3 linked regions of the Stegostoma tigrinum genome follow. The protein of the gene in region 3 interacts with the protein of the main gene of each other region in a pairwise test. Links are inferred from orthologs where the notes say so. Each region holds a gene or a part of one and is shown on either strand. Other genes may lie near its edges.

Region 1 (7,420 bases), on a different chromosome or scaffold from region 3:
AGAATCCTGAAGAAGGGAGCCAAACCTGAAAGTTAGGTTAGACATGACAAAAGGAACATTTCCTCTCAAAAGAGCTAGTGGGAAATCTCAAATTCTCTCCTCCCCGACCACATCCCCTACTGACCCCACCCACTATCAAAAAAATTGAAATTTTGAAAACTGAGGTCACTCCCATTTTTATTGAATGAAGTCAGAGTGTTCACATTCCAAGTGTAGTCTAAGTAATGTGCTGTACAACTTTAAAATAATTTCTGATGTTTATGACTGTTATCCTGCATTTACAAAGGGACAGAAAGTGTGGAGCTGGATGAACACAGCAGGCCAAGCAGCATCTTAGGAGCACAAAAACTGACATTTCGGGCCTAGACCCTTCAGAACAACCCAGTTACTTATTTATGACCTTATTAATTTGTGTCTCTAATTAGGGACTTATCCATCTGTACCATAAGAATTTCTTTTGCTTTTCTATCCTATTTATATGCTTGTTTAGTATTTAACCTTTTGACTATAAACAGCTCTGCTCAGATCACACCTGATTACTGTATTATCCCATTCCTGTCACCTTATTTAAGGAAGGATATAAATGCATCTGTACTTTAGAGAAGTTTTACCAGACTAAAACCTGTGTTATCAGGCCTGGCTTGTGTCTGCTGAGTTTAGAAGTATATGAGGCAACTTGATTGAAACAAAGATCTAAGGGATCTTGACAGTGCAGATATGGAAAAGATGTTCCCTCTTCTAGGAGAATCTAGAACTAGGGATCATTGATTAATGGTGGGTGAACACTCTTCCTAAAACAAAACAGTGGGAGCTGGAACAAGTGACCCAAAGCAGCCAGCGGTGAAAGCTGGAGCACGCTGCCTGGGAGATATGCAGTGAGAGTGGGAGCAGGCAGCCTGAAACAGCCAGCAGTGACAGTGGGAGCAGACAGCCTCGGAGATGTGCGATGAGAGCAGGAGCAGGCAGCCTAAGATGGCTGGCGGCGAGAGTGGGAGCAGGCAACCCCAAGGTGGAGAGAGTGGAAGCAGGCAGCCTTGGAGATGTGCAGTGACAATGGGACCAGGCAGCCTGAGATGGCTGGTGGAGAGAGTGGGAGCAGACAGTCCGAGGTGGCGATGAGTGAAGTCAAGCCTTGTGAGAAATACGAGCCCAGGATGCTGAATTATTACCTGTGTTTCTTTGGTAGGATTGTAATGTTTAACTTCTTGGCTTGCTTTTTGTTCTTCTGCTTTGTATTAAGAGTCTTAATACCTGTGCCTAGGTACATTTGTATCTACGATGGCACCGTAAGTGGCAGCTTGTAAACTTTTCACTGTACTGATGCTGGTGAGTACATGTGGCAATTAAAGCTAATTATAATTAGAATTTTAAAACAGGCAATTTTTATTTTACAGTGAGCTACGGGCCTTTAGAAACCTCTCCCTGAAAAGACTATGGAAGCAAAGTCCTGAATGTTTTTCAGGCACAGGTAGATGTGTCCTTGTTAAGCAAGGGGCTTAAAATGCAGCAGATGGAAATGCAGATTTGAGGATCCAATTAAGATCAACCCTAATTGTACTGAAATAGCAGCAGTTTTGAAGGGCCGAATGAACTCCTCCTGCATCTTATTCAGGTGTTCGACTCCTTCTATCGAAACACATTACCACGCAGTTGGCTGTTATGAATTGCAAGATGGGCATTTATGCAATTGGCAAATTAATTTCAAGTGCAGATTTCCTAATCAACCTGTTTAGTGATATTATTACACACCGCTAAAGCAGTTGGGGCCTCCTAATCCAGTGTTAGGGACCCTACCAGTGTGCTTTGTGCAAGTGTTTTTTTCATCTGATATGGTCACTAGAAAGCAGTGGTTCATTCTGGAACAAACTATCAATTATTCACCAACACTGTAAAAGTGAAGGACATGGTGAAGGTCAAAGTTGCTGGAACTATTTCCAGTAAAAGCCTGAGTGGGACTGAAGGTATAATCTGTGGGAATGAACAGAGGAGAAAGCATGGGAAAGTGTTCACTGGAATGTTATGACCACTGATAGAGGGAAATCTTTAAAAGTGTAATCACTGACCACTGAAATAATTGATTTTCTGTCTCGATTGACCCATATATTTTGGGCAGCATCTCAGCATGGAAAGCAAAAGTTGCAGTAATTAAGTCCAGCTCCAGTTTAACTCTGATACAGGAAAAAGGAGCGTGTAGCATTTTATCACAGATATCTCAATCAATTTCTCTGCACGGAAACACGCTAAGGTCGGATCAGTGCAACTAGTTTTAAGTTTAACCTCACATTTCATTATCTTAGTTTTAAGGGAAGCCTATCTTCTGTCACGGGCTGTAACGCACAAGAGTCAGAGAGTTGCCCCCCCCCAAAAAAAAAGTGTGAAAAGGAGAGAAAGGCCAACTGCACCCCCCAAGGCACAAGTCAACAGGTTGCGAACTGCAGCAACGCACTTAACCATTTCCTTGCCGTTTGGCGCTGCAGACAGGTCCGAGGGAAGCGGCCAGATGAATCACTTGCAGGACCCCGAGCCTGATGTCTGGGCTGAGAATGAGCACTCGAATACCAGGTGATAGTTGAAAGGTGGGGATAAGTCATCACGAAACCCTGCAACAGGCAATAACGCTGCACTGACAAGACTGAGATCGGTGTACTGTACATATACAGTAACGCCTTCACGTAGGAAGCAAACAAGTGAATAGAGCAGCCCATCTTTTATAAAGATATTGGTCCTGTGTGGCAGCCAGGCTAGGAGAATGTCCCCTTGCTTCCAGCCTGACTATAACCTCCAGTGAAAGTGCACCCCGCCCCGACTTACAGCAAGCACAAGGCTAACGCTCCTTCGCAGGACTCGCTGTGCCGGACCAGAAAGCTGCCGTCCTGAGCCGCCTTAGCAAGTAGGCTCTCGGCCATAGGCCGGGAGATGTCCTCATGGTACCAGCGATCGTTCATCTTTCCTTCCGACTCCTTATTCCATCCAAACCTCGGCTGCCGCTTCAAACAGACGAACCCGGCGTCAGCTCACCCTCAGCCAGCCTTTCCTGAGCGTGACGAAGCCGGACTGAATTTCACTTCCTCAAAGCGCAATCTGACATAAAGAAAACCACACGTGTTTCAGTTTATTACCAGTGCATCAGTACCTCCCATTCACCCCTCCCTTATTAACACCCTCCAAAACATTCACTCACTCCTCCCTCAGTAACACCACACCCCCACAGCCCATTCACTCCTTCCTTGTTAACACCCTCCAAACCATTCATTCACTCCTCCGTCAGTAACTCCTCTCTTCCACCCTCTCATTCACTCCTCCCTCATTAACACCCCCAAACCATTCTTTCACTCCTCCATTGTTAATTTCACCCCTCCCCTGGCCCATTCACTCCTCCGTCATTAACACCCTCCAAACCATTCACTCACTCCTCCCTCTTTAACACCACACCCCCACAGTCCATTCACTCCTTCCTCTTTAGCAACCCCCAAACTAGAACAATCAGAGCTCCCTCAATAACAACGCCTTCAGCATCATTGACGCTTCTGTTGATAATTACACTCCCCATCCACTCATTCCTCCCTCATTGACAACCTCTTGCCCTAGAACATTCGCTTCTCCTTTGTTAACACATTCCTCCAGAGCATTCACTTCTCCCTCATCAATAATGCCAACCCCCACCCCTGAACATTCACTCCTCCCTCATTAACACGCCTCCTCCAGAACATTCAGTTGTCCTTCATCAATAACATTCTCCCCCCCCCCCACCTCACTCACTGGAACATTCACTTCCGTCTCATTGATTTCCCTCAAACTATTCAACCAGTCCCCTCTCACCTTTCAATTCATTCACTCCTCTCTCATCGATATGCAAGAAACTATTCGCCTCCAATCACATTAACAGCCCCACATCATCTACTCCACTCTCATTGCAGATGTACAGGATACTGGTTGGGCCACTTTTGGAAAACCGCATGCAATTCTGGCCTCCCTACGTAGGGAGGATTTTGTGAAACTTGGAAGGGTGCAGAAAAGATTTACAAGGATGTTGCTAGGGTTGGAGGGTTTGAGCTATTGGGAGAGGTTGACTAGGCTGTGGCTATTTTCCCTGGAGTGTCAGAGGATGAGGGGTGACCTTATAGAGGTTTATAAAATCATGAGGGGCATGGATAGGGTGAATGAGCAAATGGGCAAGGTCTTTTCCCCAGGGTGGGAGACTCCAAAATTAGAGGGCATAGGTTCAAGGTGAGAGGAGAAATATTTAAAAAGGATCTAAAGGATAACTTTTTCACGCGGAGGATGGTGCGTGTATTGAATGAGCTGCCAGAGGAAGTGGTAGTACCTGTACAATAACAACATTTATAAGGAATCTGGATAGGTATATGAATAGGAAGGGTTTTCGGGGATATGGGCCCAATGCTGGCAAATGGGACTAGATTTATTTAGGAAATCTGATCAGCGTGGACAAGTTGGACCAAAGGGTCCATTTCTGTGCGGTATATCTCTATGACACTAATATGCTTGAGCTATTCAACCCCTTCTTACTAGCATCCACCATACCCTTCACTCCTCTCATTGCCAATTCTCCCAAACTGTTCACTCCTCTGTCATTAACACCTGCCAACTGGTTCACTCCAGTCTCTAAATGGAAGGAAGAACAACCATACTTACCTGGCCTTGTTCGCATATGACTCCAGGCTCACAGCAATGTGGTTGACTTTAAATGTCCTCTGACTATGGCCTAGCAAGATACACTGTTGTATCCTTCTACTTCAAAATTTGGAAAAGGAATTAAACTACACGGATCACCCAACTTTGACCCAGGCACTACAAATGACAATATAAAGCACAGTTCTGTTGAACCGGAGAAGTCTTCTTCTCTAATGTCCGGGGCTTGTAGCAAACTGGGAGAGCTGTCCAACAGATCAGTCAAGCAACAGCGTGACATTCATGCTTGTAGAATTGTATCTTACACACAATGTTTGAGACACCACCATCAACATCTTTGGGTACAGCCGATCCTTCTAACAGGACAGACCCATCAGAAGTTACAGCACATAGGTATACACTGATGAAGGAGTTGCCTGGGAATCCTGAACATTGTTTCAGGCCCCCATGAAGTGAGGTCAAATGTAGGAAAAGAAACCACTTGCTGACCACAACCTGTGACTCCACTCCAAACACTCGTTCACCCCCGACTAACGCATCAGTACTCCTCCATTCGTAGAAGCTGTGAAAATGGAAAGAATACACTCTGAGTGGAGGACTTAAATGTTTATCACTAATGTTTATCACACATAGTTCGGTAGTAGTACCCCTGACTAGGCTGGCCAGTCCCAGAAGATAAATTCTGTGGAAGGGTCATTTGACCCAAAATGGTAATAATGATTTCTCTCCACAGATGCTGCCAGACCTGCTGAGCTTTTCCAGTGATTTCTGATTTAGTCCTAAAAAAAAATTGTTGCCAGCCTGAGTCTGCGCCATGTAGAAAGGGAACCAGAAAGTGGGAAGAACATACCTGACCTCAGCATCACCAATCTGCCTGGCACAGATGGAGGTGTCCAAGATAGTAAGTGTAAGAGTGACCACCACACAGTCCTTGTGAAGATGGAATCTTGCTTCACAATGATAATACTGTACATTGTGTTGTGTGGTACTATTACTGTGCTAAATGGATAGACTTCAAACAGCTCAGTGGTTAGCACTGCAGCCTCATAACACCAGGGATCCAGGCTTGATTCCAGCCTTGGGTGACTGTTTGTATGGAGCTTGCCCATTCTACCATGTCTGCATGGATTCCCTCCTGGTGTCCTCCCACAGTCCAAAAATATGCAGGTTCAGCAGATTGACCATTGCTAAATTGCTCTCTAGTGTTCAGGGATATGTAGGCTCTGTGGGTTAGCCATAGTAAATGCAGCATCCCAGGGATAGGGGTGGGGGGTATGCATCTAGGTGGGGTGCTCTTCAGCTGTTCAGTGTGGATTCAATAGGCCAACTAGCCTGCTCCCACACTGTAGGGATTCAATGATTCTATGGCTCAGTGTAACCGAAAACAGTCTACTTGTCTGGATGAATGTAGCTTCAATATTGCTGAAGAAGCTCAACACTATCCAGGTTAAAACAGCACCACAGATAACATCTTCACCACTAACCCACAGTGTCATCTTTATTTACTACACGCAAATTGCAAAAGGCTTGAGTTTGCGTCAATTCGTCATGGCTACTGTGACCACAACTTGAAAAAAAACACAAGCCCTCCCACCGAGAAGAACTGGACAGAAGATACATAACACGGCAATCTGCAAGGTCCCCTCCGAGCCCAGACTTCACTTCCTATCCTGACTAGGAACTGTGTGGCCATTCCATTACCATTGTCAATTAAAATCCTAGAACGCCCTTCTGGAACAGGACTGTAAGTGTGCCTCCACCAATGGACTGCAGCAACTCAAGAAGGCAGACAGCAATAGAGACAAGCAATTAGTGCTGACACAGCTTGTGATGCTCACAATCCATGAATGATTCCTAAAAAATAACACCCAATAAACCATTTATTCCTTTCCTAATAACATCCAGGAAACTTTTCAGTACTCTTTGTGGCAAGACAAACTTCTGGAGTTATTTCTTTAAGATGGAGACGCTATTGTGGTTGCCACAAGAAACTCTCCTGTTCTTAGTAGAAGGCGCATTGAAAAGATTTGCAGCTTTTCCAAATTATGAATATGCCATCCATGACCATTAAGTCCTGTAGCGGCTCACTCTTATCCAGATTCCCAACAAACCATTCACCAGTATTTACATGAGTTTGGAAACCAGCAGTGGCCTTCCAACAGCTCCCCCAGTGTGAAAGAAAATAACCATCACTCTTTGCCTGGTCTCCTTCCACCAATTTCCTAGCCACATCATCATTTTCCCTTTAATAGCATGTGCATCCCACTTCTTACATATGTTGTTAGTGTCAAGCAGGACCACAACCATGGGCTGTTCACCCTCCCCAGCTGTCCTCAGCTGCTCTGGGACATCCTTGTCTCCAGCACTGGGGAGATAGCAAAACATCCTGGAGTTAGATAGCTTCAGAACTGCCTGTCTGTACCCTTGCAAAAGATTCCCTGTCAGCCACAGAGCATGAAGTCACAGAGCTGAACAGCATGGAAAGGGAACGTCAGTCCAACTCATTCATACTGACCAGATACCTTAAATTAATCTAGTCCCATTTGCCAGCTTTTGAACTCTATCCCTCTAAACCCTTCCCATTGATACACTTATCCAGATGCCTTTTAAGTGTTGTAATTCTACCAACCTCCACCACTTCCTCTGGCAGGTCATTCCATATATGCACCACCGTCTGTGTGAAAAAGTTTCCCCTCAGATCCCTTTTAAATCATTCCCCTCTCAACTTAAATCTATGCCCTCTAGTTTTGGACTCTCCAACCCCAAGTAA
Region 2 (7,666 bases), on a different chromosome or scaffold from region 3:
CCTTTCTATCCTATGGCCCACCTAATTCTATACATTTCCATAATGTCTCCCCTGAGCTTCCTGTGCTCTGAGGACAACAACTTCAGTCTACCCAATCTCTAATCATAACTACAATTCTAAAGATCCTGTGAAGATGCTGGTAAAGCTCCTCTGTGCCTCCTTTCCGGTGCAATCACATTCCTCCAATAATGTGGATTCCACAGCTGCACACAATATTCTAACAGTGGCCTAACCAACAGTTCCAGCTTAACCTTCCTGCTCTTAATCTCTCTCTGTCCCAGCTAATAAAGGCGAGCTTCATAAAAAATTTATCCATCTGTCCTGATACCTTAAGGGACCAATGGACATGTGCAGCAAGGTCCCTCAGATTCTTGGTACTTCCCAAGGTTTTACTATTCATTGTGCACTGTCTTATTTGTACTGCCCAAGTGCACTACCTGCCAGTTATCCAGATTGAATTCTATTTGCTATTGATCAACCAATCTGAAGAGCCCATCCTGTAATTTAAGGCTATCCTCCTACCACCCCACCAATTTCTGTATCATCCACAAACTTACGAATCAACTCTCATACATTCAGTTCTAAATCATTTGTATATGCTGCAAACAGCAAGGGCCCCAACAGTGATAACTGTGGGACCCCAATTGACATGCTATTCTAGTCACAAAAACACCCTCCACCATCACCCTCTGCTTCCAAGCACTGGACCAGTTCTGGATCCAATTTGATTTTCTTGGATCTCATGATCTCTTACCTTGGCTATCAGTCTCACAATGGGACCTTAACAAAGGCCTTGAAGTCCAACTAGACTACATCAAGAAGATAATAATAACTGTCCATACTGGAGTCTGAGATAACACCGTGTGGAGCTAGAGGAACACAGCAGGCCAGGCAGCATCAGAGGAGCAGGAAAGCTTTAAGGTTGGGACCCTTCTTCAGAAATGGGGGATGGGAAGAGGGGCTCTGAAATAAATACCGGGTGTTCGGCTGGGGAAGGTAGGTGGGATGGTGATAGGTGAGGGCAGGTAGGTAGTGCTGAGGATTCGTCAGTGAGGTGGGAGGAGCGGACAGGTAGGAGAGAGGACGGACAAATCAAGGATGCGGCGATGAGAGGGAGCTTTGGTCATGGAATGAGGGCGGGGTGGGGAGATTTTGAAGCAAGTGAAGTCGAAGTCCACATTGAGATCATTGGGTTGTAGGTTTCCAAGGCGGAAATATGAGGTGTTGTTCTTCCAGTTTCCGGGTGGCGTCGTTGTGACACTGGAGGAGGTCCAGGGTGGACATGTAGTCGGGGTGGGGGGAACCGAAACGTCAGCTTTCCTGCTCCTCTGATGCTGCCTGGCCTGCTGTGTTCCTCCAGCTCCACATTGTGTTAGACCACATGAAATACATTATCCTCATCTAAAAACCTGAATATGTCTTCGAAAAATTAAATCAAATTGGTTAGATCTGATATCCCCTGAACAAAACCATAAGTTGCACTGGGCATAATTTCAGTACACAGTTCTAGATTTGGGTATAAGAAGCAAAACAGAAATTGCTGGAAAACCTCAGCAGGTCTGGCAGCATCTGTAGAGAGAAATCAGAGCTAACGTTTCGGGTCCAGTAATCCTTCTTCGGGACTGCAATGTCAGTACACAGTCTCAGAGAGACTGGGTATAATGTCAGTAAACATACAATTCCAGATAGACTGGGTATAATCGGTATATATCTCCTTGCAATAAACTACACTCTCACACCCCGGTGACATCTCCATGATGGTGTAGCCTTTCCCCCTCCAGGAATTAAATTCCAGGCTCATCCGCTTGGCGGGAGGGCTAATGGATCTGAGGTGCGCTAAAATGGAAGCATCTGGTGGTGCCAGATAGCAGATCCCACAGGCTCTTAAACGCTTCACTAGTTCTCACCATACAGCCTGCTTTAAATTGCAGCGAGAACACTGCAGAACGAGGGCATATACAAATTGAACTGAGTGCAGAATGTTCACCTCTCTCTCACAGGCGCAGATACAGACAGAAATCTCCAGTAACACCAGGGGCTGATGCCCCACAACACTCTGAATGGCATGAGGGCTTTTAAAAATAAGGATTCCTTCCACATCAGCTTTCTCTGATCCTGCCCGTGAACTGGGAGACCGTGAGCTCTTTGATAGTGCCAAATCTTGCACATTCCTCAAAACCTTTGCGTCGAACTGAAGCAAACACGGGGAAGGGCTAGGGGGCAGGGGTTGAGCTGGAGAGTGGCTGACATGTAAGCGGGCAGGTTACTCTCCCTCCCCGGCCTGCTCCCCACCCACCAACTCTCCGTGTTCTTGGTTCACCATGTCTCTGCCACCGCGTCTCCCTCGCTGAGAATCTCAATGTTTGCCGACCTGGTTTCGCTCCCGATCCTGGCTATGTTGGCGTCCCGCTATCTCTACATCTCAGAAATACATCTGTCTCTACCTGTGTCTCATTCCCAGGTGTCTGTCTCCCTCTCTCGGCTCTCTGTACCATTCCCAAAGCGTGATTTCAGGCATTGTGGAACTGCCTGTACCCTAGTCTGTCTCCGCCTGTCTCTAGGTCAGTCTGACAAGATTCCGGTCTCCATATGTGGGTTTCCCTAGCACTCTGCGTTTCTGCAGTCACCTCTCTCTCTCGTACTCAAACACCCTGTCCCTCATTATCTTGGGTTTTGTTCTCTCTCTGTCTGCTAACGGGCAGCTCATGACACTTGCAATTTTAAGCATAAATTTCGGAGTCCCTACCGAACACCCCACCTCCGATCTAAAGCCGAAACACAGGTGAAAACTTGACAAACGACCTCACCGAAACGAAAAATAAACAGCCTGGCTTGCAACCCCTAGTCTGCCGACCCCTGGACTCGTCAATGTGCAGAATATTCCCATTTCTCTCTGCACTGCCTGGGCTGGGTCATATTTTCAATTGGATGCTTGCAAAAAAAAATTAAAAACCTATGCACTGCAACAGCCTCGCCCCTCGCCCCCTTCAAACGACAACAGCCCACACTCCGGGCTCACCTCCTCCCGCACCTCCGCCCATCCATCGTCCCGGCCCGGGCTGCCGTTAGCTGCAGTCCTCTGCGGCTGCATCTGCGCTCCGTTCAGAGCCAGCCCTGGCGGACGAGAGCTCGTTCGCCCGCCGCCGCCGCCGCCGCCGCCACCTCCTCCTCCTCCTCACCGAAAGCACGGATCCCTGAGACGCCGCTCAGCCACATGATGCTGGCCCGCAAGAGGCGAGTGAACTAGGATTTCCGGGATGGTCCAAGGTACTCTCGGCTACAGCTGCTCCAGGAGTCTATTTGGTATTCAGGGTCTACACCTCTCTCTCTCATACAAGAGCTCCTTTCTCCTCCTTTCCAGCCTTACTGCGGTGGGATGTGCCCAGCTCCTCCCCTCTCCTTCTCTCCTCCTCCCAAAAAGCAAAAACAGTGCACCTGCATGCGGTTCAGTTACTGGTGGAGACCGACAGCAGACACACACAGACTCCAGAAGAAGGAAGGTTAGGGATGAAAGATTGGTTGACAGGGCAACAGTGGCTGCATCAAGATGCGCGTGGAACAGCTTCACCCCCCCCCCCCCCCCCCCGCAGGAGTAAACACACCTCTGAACTTCTACCTGTTCCTGGTGTTCGAAAGACTGGATTGCTGTGGTCCTAGGCAGTGAATGGAATGGGTGGCTCAGTGGTTAGCATTGTTGCCTCACAGAGCCAGGGACCGGGGTTCGATTTTCCCCCTCAGGCGGTTATGTGGGTTTCCATTGGGTGCACCGGCTTCCTCCCACAGTCCAAAGATGTGCAGGTTGGGTGGATTGCCATGCTAAATTATCCTCCGTGTCCAAGGATGTGTAGGTTAAGTGCAACAGCCATGGGATACAGTAAGGGGTTGGGTCTGGGTGGGATGCTGTTTGGAAGGTTGGTGTAGACTCAGTGGGTGGAATAGCCTGCTTTCACATGGTAGGGATTCTGCGAATGTGCTCTCCCAACTGTACCTTGTGGAAAGGTTTATGTAGATAAACACCTTTGGGGAACCACAGGCCCATCTTGGTAATGCACCAAATGTGATGTCCTCCAGATGTAACAATGAGAACCAAGATGTCAGGTGGCTGCTGGTGAGGAGCTTCAATGAAGATTGTAGTAGGGTATGCCAGGAGCAGCACCAGGCATGCCTAAAAATGAGGCTCAATCGAACTAAATAACATCATCAGACAGATCTAAGAGTTTCCACAACCAAAAGATCAGATCTAAGCTTTGCAGTCATTCACATCAGTTGTATGGTGATGTACAGTTAAATAACTTACTGGAGGAACAGGCTCCACAAATATTCCTATCCTCATGAATAGGGGAACTCAGCACATCAGTGCAAAAGGTAAGGCTGAAATGTTTGAACCAGAATTGCCAAATGCATGAACCAACTAGGCCTCCTCCAGCAAGCATCAAAAATGCCAATTTGATTCACTCCATGTGAAATCAAGAAACAGTCGAAGGTCCTGGATAGTGCAAAGGCAACAGGCCCTGTCAAATTTCCAGCGATGATACTGAAGACTTGTGCTCCAGCACTGCTCCCCTAGCCAAGCTGTTCCAGTACAGTTACAACATCAGCATCTACCTGACAGTGTCGAAAATTGCCCAAGCATGTCCTGTACTCAAAAAGCAGGACAAAACTAATTCCATCAATTACTGTCCCATGTATGTATACTCTTGATCATCAGTCAAGTGAGAAAGGTGTCATTGACAGTGATATCAAGCAGCACCTGCTCAGTGACGCCCTGTTTGGGCTCAGCTCCTGACCTCATTAAACAGCTGAATTCCAGGGGGGAGCTGAGAGTGACAGCCTTTGATGTCAAGGTAGCATTTGACCGAGTATGGACCAAGGAGTTCTAACAAAACTGAAGTTAATGGGAATCGGGGAAAAGATTCTCCACCAGCTGGATTCATACCTGGCACAAGGAACATGGTTGTGATTGCTGGAGGTCAATCATCTCAGCTGAGAACATCTCAGCAGCAGTTCATCCAGTCATCTTCTCTCCAAAATAACGTAAGAAACAGGGATGTTCGCCAATGATTGCACAATGTTCAGCACCATTTGTGACTCCTCAGATACTGAAACAGTCCGTGTTCAAATGCAACAAGATCTGGAAAAGATCCACATTTGGACTGAAAAGTGACAAGTAACATTTGTATCCACAATGTGCCAGACAATGACCATCTGCAACAGGAGAGAATCTATTCATGGCTCTTCGATATTTGCTGACATTACCATTAGTGAACACCCCACTTTCAACATCCTTTGGGTCACCATTGACCACAAACTGAACTGAACTAGCCATATAAATATGACCTGTAATGGCAGGTCAAAGTACAGAAATTGTGTCGTGAGTAACTCACCTCCTGACTCCCCAAAGCCTGTCCATCATCTACAAGGCAGAAGCCTGGATTGTGATGGAATGCTGCACATTTTTCTTGATGTGTGCAGCTCCAGCAACTCTTAAGAAAGCTTGACATTATCCCAAGACAAAGCAGCTGACTTGATTAACACCACATTCACAAAACATTCACTCTCTCTACTACCAATGCTCAGTAAAAGCAGTATGCACTGCAGAAATTCACCAATGTTCCTTCGTCAGCACCTTCAAAACCCACAACCACTTCTGCCTAGAAGGACATGGTCAGCAGAAATGTGGGAACACCATCACCTGCAAGTTCTCTTCCAAGCTACTCACCATCCTGACTTGGAAATATATACTGTTCCTTCAGTGTTGCAAGGTCAAAATCTTGGAATTCTGTCCCTAGGGCCATTGTGGGTCTACCAACAGCACATGACTGCAGCATTTCAAGAAGGCAGAACACCACTGCCTTCTCAAGGGCAACAAGGGATGGGCAATAGATGGTCCAGCCATCGATGCCCACAGTTCATTAAATGAATTTTTAAAAAAGTCCTTCACCATTAACCAGATCTTTTCGTACATGCCTGGTGCCTCACCCACTTTGGCAACTGCCCTCGAGCCTGCAGGCGTGGGGAAGTGATCCTTACCTATCTCCTTGTTGAATTTGCCTTTGCAAAGAAGGCCTGGAAAAGATGGTTTTTGTTGAGGTTCACCTTGAGCAGCTCTGCAACTCTGTTCTCTATGGCTGTTCCCAGGGATGCAGACTGAGAGAAACCACCTCAGCATATGTAGGACCATCAACATATTGAAAACCCCCCTTTCGTCTGCTGAAAACCTGTTGGTCTTTTACTGCAAGAGTTATCTCTGACCAAGAGTTGTAGACAGATAGGTTCCAACGTCCAGGACTATGTGCTGAGGGTCATATTCACTCTTGGGCAGCTACCACACAGATGCAATGGGGATATGTCACTGTCTAAACCCTTTCAGCCTTAATACACCAAGAGTCTCAAAACTGGGTAAATCTCCTGGACTGTACGTCAGAAATGTAATGAATCTTATAAATATCAGCTGTAATTGTAAGTGTAATGAGTAATATATGGTATTAGAAGAAAAGCATTTGGTTTGCCCTTTATGTAATGTCAACTTTGAACAGTCACTTAATGTAATTTTAGAAGTTTTATGAATAAAGAATCTTTGGAAAAGTCTGAGGGAAGGAAGGACATATGTAGAAAAAGAAGCAGGAGAATGAATAGGTCTGAAGGGTGGGTGGTTAGGAAAAGGGAGATAATGGGTGAAAAGAGGAAAAGAACGTAGAGGAGGAAACAATAAGCAGACAAAGTAGAGGGTCAAAGGGAACAAAGAGGAAAGTAGGAGTGAAAAAATCTGGTCAGGTTGAGCTGAGGTCTAGAGGAAAGAGGCAAAGAATCAAGAGGAAGGGAAATGAGGAAAGAAAGGATTAGGCAACTATAAGAGAGCACCAAGAGAAAGAAGAAAACTGTAGAAAGCACAGAGAAAAGGGAAGGAAATAGCTCAGAGTAGAAAAGGAGAGGCAAAGAACACAAACTGGAGCACATTGAATGTGCGTCCTAGAGTAAAGGTGTGAGTGTGAGTCGATAAGCTGATGAGGATGAAGATCAGAAATAAGAATGTGGAAGGAGTGAAAATGAAGAAACAGGAGTGTAGGTGACCCAGAGAAGATCAGAAAAAGAAAAGTGTGCAGAACAAAATGAAGAAAGAGTGATAGAGAATCGAGTAAGGTTGTCGGAATGAAACCTTTGATACAATAAATGAAGAAAAGCAGCTTTGGGGAAAGAGTATTACAATGTTCCCAGCAGTACTGCACTAATCTGCATTCACACTAATCTCAGCAGTAGTGCACTTATCTGCTCTCATTCTGATCCCAACAAAAATGCAATAATCCACACTCACACTGATCCCAGCCATTCTGCAGTCATTTGCATTAATTCTGATCCCAGCAGCACTGCAGAAATCGGGACTAACAATGATAGCAGCAACATTTGCAGCGAACTGTAAGAACCTGCACTCAGTCTGAGCCCAGCAACACTGGAGTAACCTTTTACTGATTCCAGTAATATAATAATCTGCACTCACACTAATCCCAGCAGCACCAAAATCTGCACTCACACTGACCATTGGAACACTGCAGTGATATGCATCTACCTCATCCATCATTTTAAATATTTTGTCAGTTTCAATGAGATCACTTCTCATTCTTTGAAATTCTCGAGAATACAAGCCCAGTTTGCCCAGTCAGATTTGCTG
Region 3 (7,772 bases):
TATCATGGATTTGAAGATTACAAGTGCAATCAACAGGACTGAAAAAGGTTATTCAAATAATTTAGTATTATATTTTTTATAATGAAAAGTTTCCAATCAGTATGTACACTTCATATAAAAAACTAAATATTTCACTTATTCTTATTCCGCAAAAATCTGTTAGGTAGTTGATCCAATAAAATTGTTTCTGATGGCTGCAGATGTACAATCTGACCACTTCAACTTCCTTGAACCACCTTTTTTTTCATATTTGAAATGATTAACTTAATTCACACGTGAACTTCAGATCATTTGAAAAGTCTAGATATATTTAGAAGAATGTATAGTCAAGGACTTCTGCTCCACAAAAGGCAAGCATACAATTTGTCACACAAAACCCATTTTACAATTGGCAAAAGAACATAACAGCATTCGAAAGAAACAGTCACAAAATACTGCAGTTTCAAGTTTGATTCAACCAGTTTGTATTGCAAACAAACAACAGGAAGCATCCCTGAATCCAGAAGTGACCTGAAAAACAAGCTAGCAGTAGCATCTCTGGAGACATACACTATTGATTCCTCTCTACACTACTGTAGTAAAGTACTTCCAAAAGCAAGTATAAATGGGTGCCATTCATTACATGCAGCGTACTGCTATTTATCATGGAGGTATGTGGGCAGAATGCCCACATTACATGCTAAATTTTCAGCCAAAAATACAAATAACATCCATTCAATTATTTCCTTGTAACAGCCTCCATTCCAAAACCTGCCTTACACAGTCGAATTAGTTACAGTTAGAACATCAGCAGCTTCATGTGAACATATTGGCAACAACTGTAATAAAAATGCACATTAAGCAACCACACCAAGAAATTTTATAATTTTCTCTTAGAAAAGCCTTGAATGGCACAATTTTAATAGAACCAAGGTATTAGAGGCTTTGAAGTTTCATTAAAACTTGCAGGCTTCCCATTATAAAAATTCACAACAGTAAAGAGACAAGTATAGGCAGCATGCCTGTAAAATATGCTAAGTCAAAAAAGGTGCATATAGACCACTTTGAAAGTTAATGAGTTGCCACCTCTAAGCAAGTATTGTAAACAAGGCATCTGTATTTCTACAATAAACTTTAGATTGTTAAATACTACATATGCCTTTACAAAATCTTTAGCAAACTGCTTTAAGTTTACACACAGGTCAGTTAGCATACAAAAGAATTTAATACATCCATGGTATAACAATACTTTTAAATTGATGAGGTCTTATTTTAATTAGATAAAACATAGCTTAGATATGCATTAATCTTCATCAGTTTAATGGCAGCTCATCTCAAAATCAAAAACCACTAAAACATGAAAAGTACCAAAACATGTATGAATGAGTTAAATCTTTGGCATATCAAAAGTTAATTTTGCATTCACTTAAAATAAAGACTACCAAATAAGAATGGTTATTTACCCCCATCCATCAGTAAAGTAGAGCCCAGTTTTGCCTTAGCTTTTGACTCATCTATGCATTTTGGTACTGGTATACTTCATGTTAATCCATCTTCCTAGACCTCTTCCAAGCACTGCTTGGAGACACCAAAATAAATCAAAGAACACTGAAACAATCTTCTAACATCCAGCTCTAACTGGCATCTACAATTTTATTCTTCCATGATAAAGGATCCAGCTTTATCCGCAAGGCTTCATCCTTACGAACAAAGGCTTTTATGGGTGACATTTCTTCCATCCAAACAAGTAACTTAACCGATGCAGTAGACATGCAAAAATAAGCCTTTCGATATATGTAGAATTCTTGTCGTTTAAATTTACATTGAGTTTAATGTGTCTACATATATATTTTTTTAACGGAAATTTTAAGACAATAGAAAAAGTTCTCGCATGAAAGTTCAAGGGACCAAACAGGCTGTCCAGTAAACTAACGGTGAAGTATGATTCAACATGAGTATATTAAATACTCAGACACGAACAAAAACCACGCACAGATCGTGAATGATTATTTTAAAAATGGTCTAAAACATTTTTTTTTGCCTGCATTCGCAAACCTACACGCATGTCTCAATCGTGTTAACTGTTCAACTAAGCTAAACTCTTCAAATCTACGTCTGTCGAGGAACGGCCAAAAACTGAAACAAAAATTAAAAATCAGACACATACCCCCTTGGGTGAGAAGAAATGTCTGGATGTTCACGAGTGTGTGAAACTAACAGACAACGGCAACAGAAAAATCTTCACTGATTTAAGCGGGGGGGGGGGGGGAAGAAGGATTACAAATCAGGAAATTCCTATCCACTCGGCAACTATTCTTACCCCATCACAGCGCATAAATGTAAATAGCCAAAATTAAAATGAAACAAAAAAAATCAATTACTCTAAATCAAGCCTTTTAAATAAAGACGGTTAAATGCCCTATTACATTCTAATTTAGAGGTCTGATGTGAATTTAGATGTTCCCCACGAAGAATAATTGGAAAGTTTGCTTTTATTTACGTGACAAAAGATATTGTTCTTCTACCTGCTGTCACCAGCCTGGTGGCATGGATGAAAGAAGGGTCCAGACTGTCCTTCTCGGCCATCAGCTCGGGTAAGTACTTGTTATCCTCCATCCTGTGCAGCAAAAGGGGCGATTTGGATGATTTTAAAAGAAAACAGTTATTCAGTACAGAAGAGTAAAATAAACAGCGTCCGGCTCTGCCGGCATAATTTAGCGTGTCTGGTACATTTAATCTTTAAAAACAAAAAAAATGAAATATAGTACCGAGGGAATTAAAAAACCCCGACTCCGAAGGAGAGTAAAAAAGATCCCGGCTCCAAGGTGCCAATGCCGTCCTCGTGTTCCTCTGTCTTTTCCCTCACACAGACAAACACACACTTCTATTCACTTCACTCGTGCTCTGCTCTTTACTCGCCCTCGTCTCTTTTTTTCACCCCCTTCCCTCCGCTTCAGGCGACAACGCAGATTATAAAGGACGATGAGGGGAGGGGGCAGGCTGAGAAATAGAAATCAAAAATAACCGTCCGCAGCCTCTCCTGCATCTCACCGTCCCTCCCACGCCATTGGTCTGTCAGACGTCAATCAGGGCCAAGTCTGTGCCCAACCATTGGACAGCGTCACCGGGAGGTCCCACCCTCTCCAATAGGAGCCCGGCTTTTTGTGGCGGCAAGTGTCTTTCCCCCCTACTATCCACACATACCGCTCCAAACCGCGTCCCAGGCCTGTCAATCATCTCGTGGCCCGCCCCCTGTCTGCCCCTTCGCGTCGCTCATAACCACGCCTTTTCCCCCCCAACGTCCATTCACAACCTTCCATTTGCCCGTCAATCAATTCGTAGCCTCGCCCCACGACACTGCACTGTCAATCACCCCGATCCCCTGACCTAAGCACATGGCACGTCAACAAACCCTGGCCCCGCCCCCTTCACCTGGGCAATCCAGCCTCCCTCGCTCTTGCCCCGCCCAGTAAACATCCCTGGACAGTGTCGCAAAGGTCCCGCCCCTCTTCTAACCTGTCTGACACTAGCCCCGCCCACTCACCTGCCTCCCAATCATCGCCAAGCGCAGACCCATTCGCTCAGGTCCTCCAGTTACCTGGGGCCCGTCAATCAAATCCGTCACTTCTGTCCCTCCATTTACATCATACGATATCCCACAGCGAGTCGTAAAAAACTCCTCAAACCGGCCCTGCAATGAACTGACTTCTCCGTCACTTCGTATTCTCCGAATCAGTTTTCCCTACATCTGGCGCTTTTTTTTGTTTTTTTTACGCCCCTAGCCAATGTGTAAAGTTTCATTTTGAGCTCAGTGCAATGAATTGCTACATATTTATTGACATTTTAATTTCGCAACCAGTGCGCAAAAGGGTGAGGCGTTTTGACTGAATCCGACTGAAAATAAGGCAGAGTTGATAGGTCCATAATAGAATAGGGGTAGTATGTTTAGAATAGACATCATGTGTGCTGCTGCTTGACTGGGGAGAAATTACTCACCACTTGTGCACGACTATTTGGGAAGTGGCAATACTGCCTCCCTGTGGTTTAAGTTGTACTCTGCACATTTCCCCAAATATTTGCTGCATTTATTGCTGCCGAAAGTATTCGAATTATGTAACGTACCCTCATTATATTCAGTCCTATCACTTTATTAATCACTCTTAGTTAAAATATGCGAATATAATTAACGGGAAATTAATTAAACCAAGGGAAAGACTTGCGTCTTTTTATCGTTTATCATAAGCTCAGGCCACCCCAAAGAGTTACAGCCAGTGAAGTACTTTTCAACAGTGGTCACTTTTTAAAATTGGAAAACGCAGCCACAAATTAACATGTAGCAAACTCCCAAGGCAAACATATGATAATAAACAATTGGATTTTTTCATAATCATTGAAGGATAAATATTAGCCAGTACACCAGGCTATCTCCCTGTTAGCGTTTGAAACAGTGTTATTGGAATATTTCACACTTGCCCGAGAGAGCAGACATTCCTTGGTTTAATATCTCATTTCTGTAATTTGCAAGGCTGAAAGGTACCAATAGAGTGTTCTGTTTTCCAAATGCAATGAAACTCTTAGATCAGTAGTTTTGTCCTTTTTTTCCGACTTCCTTGTCCTGAATGTGTTAAGCCTTATTCTAGCCACACTCAGTTGCACGTCCAAGTCGTAACCGTTCGATGGCAATGAACTACTGAACTGACTGTTGTGGAACAGCAAATCTCCAAGAATGATGAAGACTTGTGGAGGATGTTTGGAATGATATTTTAGAACTTCCACAGATCTTGAGACATGAAGGGAAGTATTTGAAAAATATTGAGCCCCATGGATACTAAAGTTACAAATTCTCTTTTTGCAGAATTAATGGCAGTGGTGGGTGTGGAAAAGTACTTTACTGTTGAGGTATCAATGGGCTGGACATATTTTACTTTTAAGAAATCTCCTCTCCTGCGCCTTTCTACAGGAAGTTTGGTTGACAATGAAGAGTTGGACCGAAGGGTCTGTTTCTACACTTTATGATTCTGACTCTGGTTCTATGGGAAACGTCACAGTATTATTTAAAATTGTCAGTCAGGCTCACAGTGTGGCAGACTCATATATACTGCAATCTAGATATATTAAGGCAAACAGCCATGTTTTTACAGTCGGGAACATGTACCAGCACTAGACCTGTATCAACCCAACAAAGTAGGTGATAGTCTATTCGCTGAATCATTTCTCAGGGAAATGCTTTTATATTCAGAGTTGCATGGTTTGCCAATTACCCGTCAGCCATCAACAACTTCTCTTTTGACTCCTCCCACTTCCTACAGGCTAAGGGGGTGGCCATGGGCACCCGCATGGGCCCCAGCTATGCCTGCCTCTTTGTAGGTTACGTGGAACAGTCCCTCTTCCGCACCTACACAGGCCCCAAACCCCACCTCTTCCTCCGGTACATTGATGACTGTATCGGCGCCGCCTCTTGCTCCCCAGAGGAGCTCGAACAGTTCATCCACTTCACCAACACCTTCCACCCCAACCTTCAGTTCACCTGGGCCATCTCCAGCACATCCCTCACCTTCCTGGACCTCTCAGTCTCCATCTCAGGCAACCAGCTTGTAACTGATGTCCATTTCAAGCCCACCGACTCCCACAGCTACCTAGAATACACCTCCTCCCACCCACCCTCCTGCAAAAATTCCATCCCCTATTCCCAATTCCTCCGCCTCCGCCACATCTGCTCCCACGATAAGACATTCCACTCCCGCACATCCCAGATGTCCAAGTTCTTTAAGGACCGCAACTTTCCCCCCACGGTGATTGAGAACGCCCTTGACCGCGTCTCCCGCATTTCCCGCGACACATCCCTCACACCCCGCCCCCGCCACAACCGCCCCAAGAGGATCCCCCTCGTTCTCACACACCACCCTACCAACCTCCGGATACAACGCATTATCCTCCGACACTTCCGCCATTTACAATCCGACCCCACCACCCAAGACATTTTTCCATCCCCTCCCCTGTCTGCTTTCCGGAGAGACCACTCTCTCCGTGACTCCCTTGTTCGCTCCACACTGCCCTCCAACCCCACCACACCCGGCACCTTCCCCTGCAACCGCAGGAAATGCTACACCTGTCCCCACACCTCCTCCCTCACCCCCATCCCAGGCCCCAAGATGACATTCCACATTAAGCAGAGGTTCACCTGCACATCTGCCAATGTGGTATACTGCATCCACTGTACCCGGTGCGGCTTCCTCTACATTGGGGAAACCAAGCGGAGGCTTGGGGACCGCTTTGCAGAACACCTCCGCTCAGTTCGCAACAAACAACTGCACCTCCCAGTCGCAAACCATTTCCACTCCCCCTCCCATTCTCTTGATGACATGTCCATCATGGGCCTCCTGCACTGCCACAATGATGCCACCCGAAGGTTGCAGGAACAGCAACTCATATTCCGCCTGGGAACCCTGCAGCCATATGGTATCAATGTGGACTTCACCAGTTTCAAAATCTCCCCTTCCCCTACTGCATCCCTAAACCAGCCCAGTGCATCCCCTCCCCCCACTGCACCACACAACCAGCCCAGCTCTTCCCCCCCACCCACTGCATCCCAAAACCAGTCCAACCTGTCTCTGCCTCCCTAACCGGTTCTTCCTCTCACCCATCCCTTCCTCCCACCCCAAGCCGCACCCCCAGCTACCTACTAACCTCATCCCACCTCCTTGACCTGTCCGTCTTCCCTGGACTGACCTATCCCCTCCCTACACCCTCTCCACCTATCTTCTTTACTCTCCATCTTCGGTCCGCCTCCCCCTCTCTCCCTATTTATTCCAGTTCCCTCCCCCCATCCCCCTCTCTGATGAAGGGTCTAGGCCCGAAACGTCAGCTTTTGTGCTCCTGAGATGCTGCTTGGCCTGCTGTGTTCATCCAGCCTCACATTTTATTATCTTGGAATCTCCAGCATCTGCAGTTCCCATTATCTCTGAAGCCATCAATAACTGCTGCTTTCTGAATGGCAACATCTTTACCAACCAAAGTCCATTTGCCAATAAACCAGCACTGGCCTCTCTTAAGTGTAAATGTTCGTTTTCCTCTTAATATAGTATTTTCATAAATTGTCCTGATGACAGCAATTCAAACAGCTTTGACACATTGATTCTTTTTTTCAACAACAGTCATTGAGTCACAGAGTTGAACAGCATTAGAAAGAGACCCTTTGGCCCAATTCATCCATGCTGACCAGATATCCTCAGTTAATTTAGTACCATTTGCCAGTATTTGGCCCATATCCCTCTAAACCCTTCCCATTCTTGTCCCCATCCAGATGCCTTTTAAATGTTGCAATTGCACCAGCCTCCAGTATTTCCTCTGGTGCCTTTTAGATCCTTCCCCTCTCACTTTATTCCTTAGATTCCCTACCCTGGGACGGAGTCCTTGGCTATTCATCCTACAAATGCCCCTCAAGATTTTATAAACCTTTATAAGGTCACCTCTCAATAATAGTTGAGTTATGTACTACAAAATGACTATAACGGTATCATTTGTTGTCGTTCAAAGTCTACTGTAATGGCCATTTGTTGCTGAACAGGTTTGGGGATTTTGCATTGTCTTTTTTCCTCAAGTCTAGAACACAGAGACAGCAAAACTAAATATAGCAAAGGCTTCTTATTTGCAACAAGAAATGTGATTCAGTATCTAGTGTTTAAAAAATAGTCATTATAGTTCATTTGTAATTTGAAAACCCTGAACATTTTAACTTGTGTATTTCTGGAGTGCTTATCTTAATAGTCCTGAGATAAATGAAAAACCAAATA

The links.
Region 1: the proteins of KH domain-containing, RNA-binding, signal transduction-associated protein 3 (region 3) and inpp5d interact in binary tests that used the Homo sapiens proteins (3 or more experiments, as listed by UniProt). The two-hybrid records come from large-scale screens. The link is inferred for Stegostoma tigrinum from reciprocal best matches to the Homo sapiens genes KHDRBS3 and INPP5D.
Region 2: the proteins of KH domain-containing, RNA-binding, signal transduction-associated protein 3 (region 3) and si:dkey-13p1.4 interact in binary tests that used the Homo sapiens proteins (3 or more experiments, as listed by UniProt). The two-hybrid records come from large-scale screens. The link is inferred for Stegostoma tigrinum from reciprocal best matches to the Homo sapiens genes KHDRBS3 and BAHD1.

Annotation. Positions count from the first base shown.
Region 1 is NC_081367.1:11,628,822-11,636,241, forward strand, and holds the start of inpp5d (phosphatidylinositol 3,4,5-trisphosphate 5-phosphatase 1), read right to left. Parts: upstream 3,105-7,420; 5' UTR 2,946-3,104; coding exon 2,812-2,945; intron 2,470-2,811; exon of another isoform or gene 2,455-2,469; coding exon of another isoform or gene 2,447-2,454; intron 1-2,446. UniProt on the Homo sapiens protein: Phosphatidylinositol (PtdIns) phosphatase that specifically hydrolyzes the 5-phosphate of phosphatidylinositol-3,4,5-trisphosphate (PtdIns(3,4,5)P3) to produce PtdIns(3,4)P2, thereby negatively regulating the PI3K (phosphoinositide 3-kinase) pathways.
Region 2 is NC_081363.1:79,326,147-79,333,812, reverse strand, and holds the start of si:dkey-13p1.4 (bromo adjacent homology domain-containing 1 protein), read right to left. Parts: upstream 3,105-7,666; 5' UTR 3,092-3,104; coding exon of another isoform or gene 3,046-3,091; coding exon 3,020-3,045; intron 1-3,019.
Region 3 is NC_081358.1:103,391,322-103,399,093, reverse strand, and holds the start of KH domain-containing, RNA-binding, signal transduction-associated protein 3, read right to left. Parts: upstream 3,047-7,772; 5' UTR 2,748-3,046; intron 2,597-2,747; 5' UTR 2,596-2,596; coding exon 2,505-2,595; intron 1-2,504. UniProt on the Homo sapiens protein: RNA-binding protein that plays a role in the regulation of alternative splicing and influences mRNA splice site selection and exon inclusion. Binds preferentially to the 5'-[AU]UAAA-3' motif in vitro.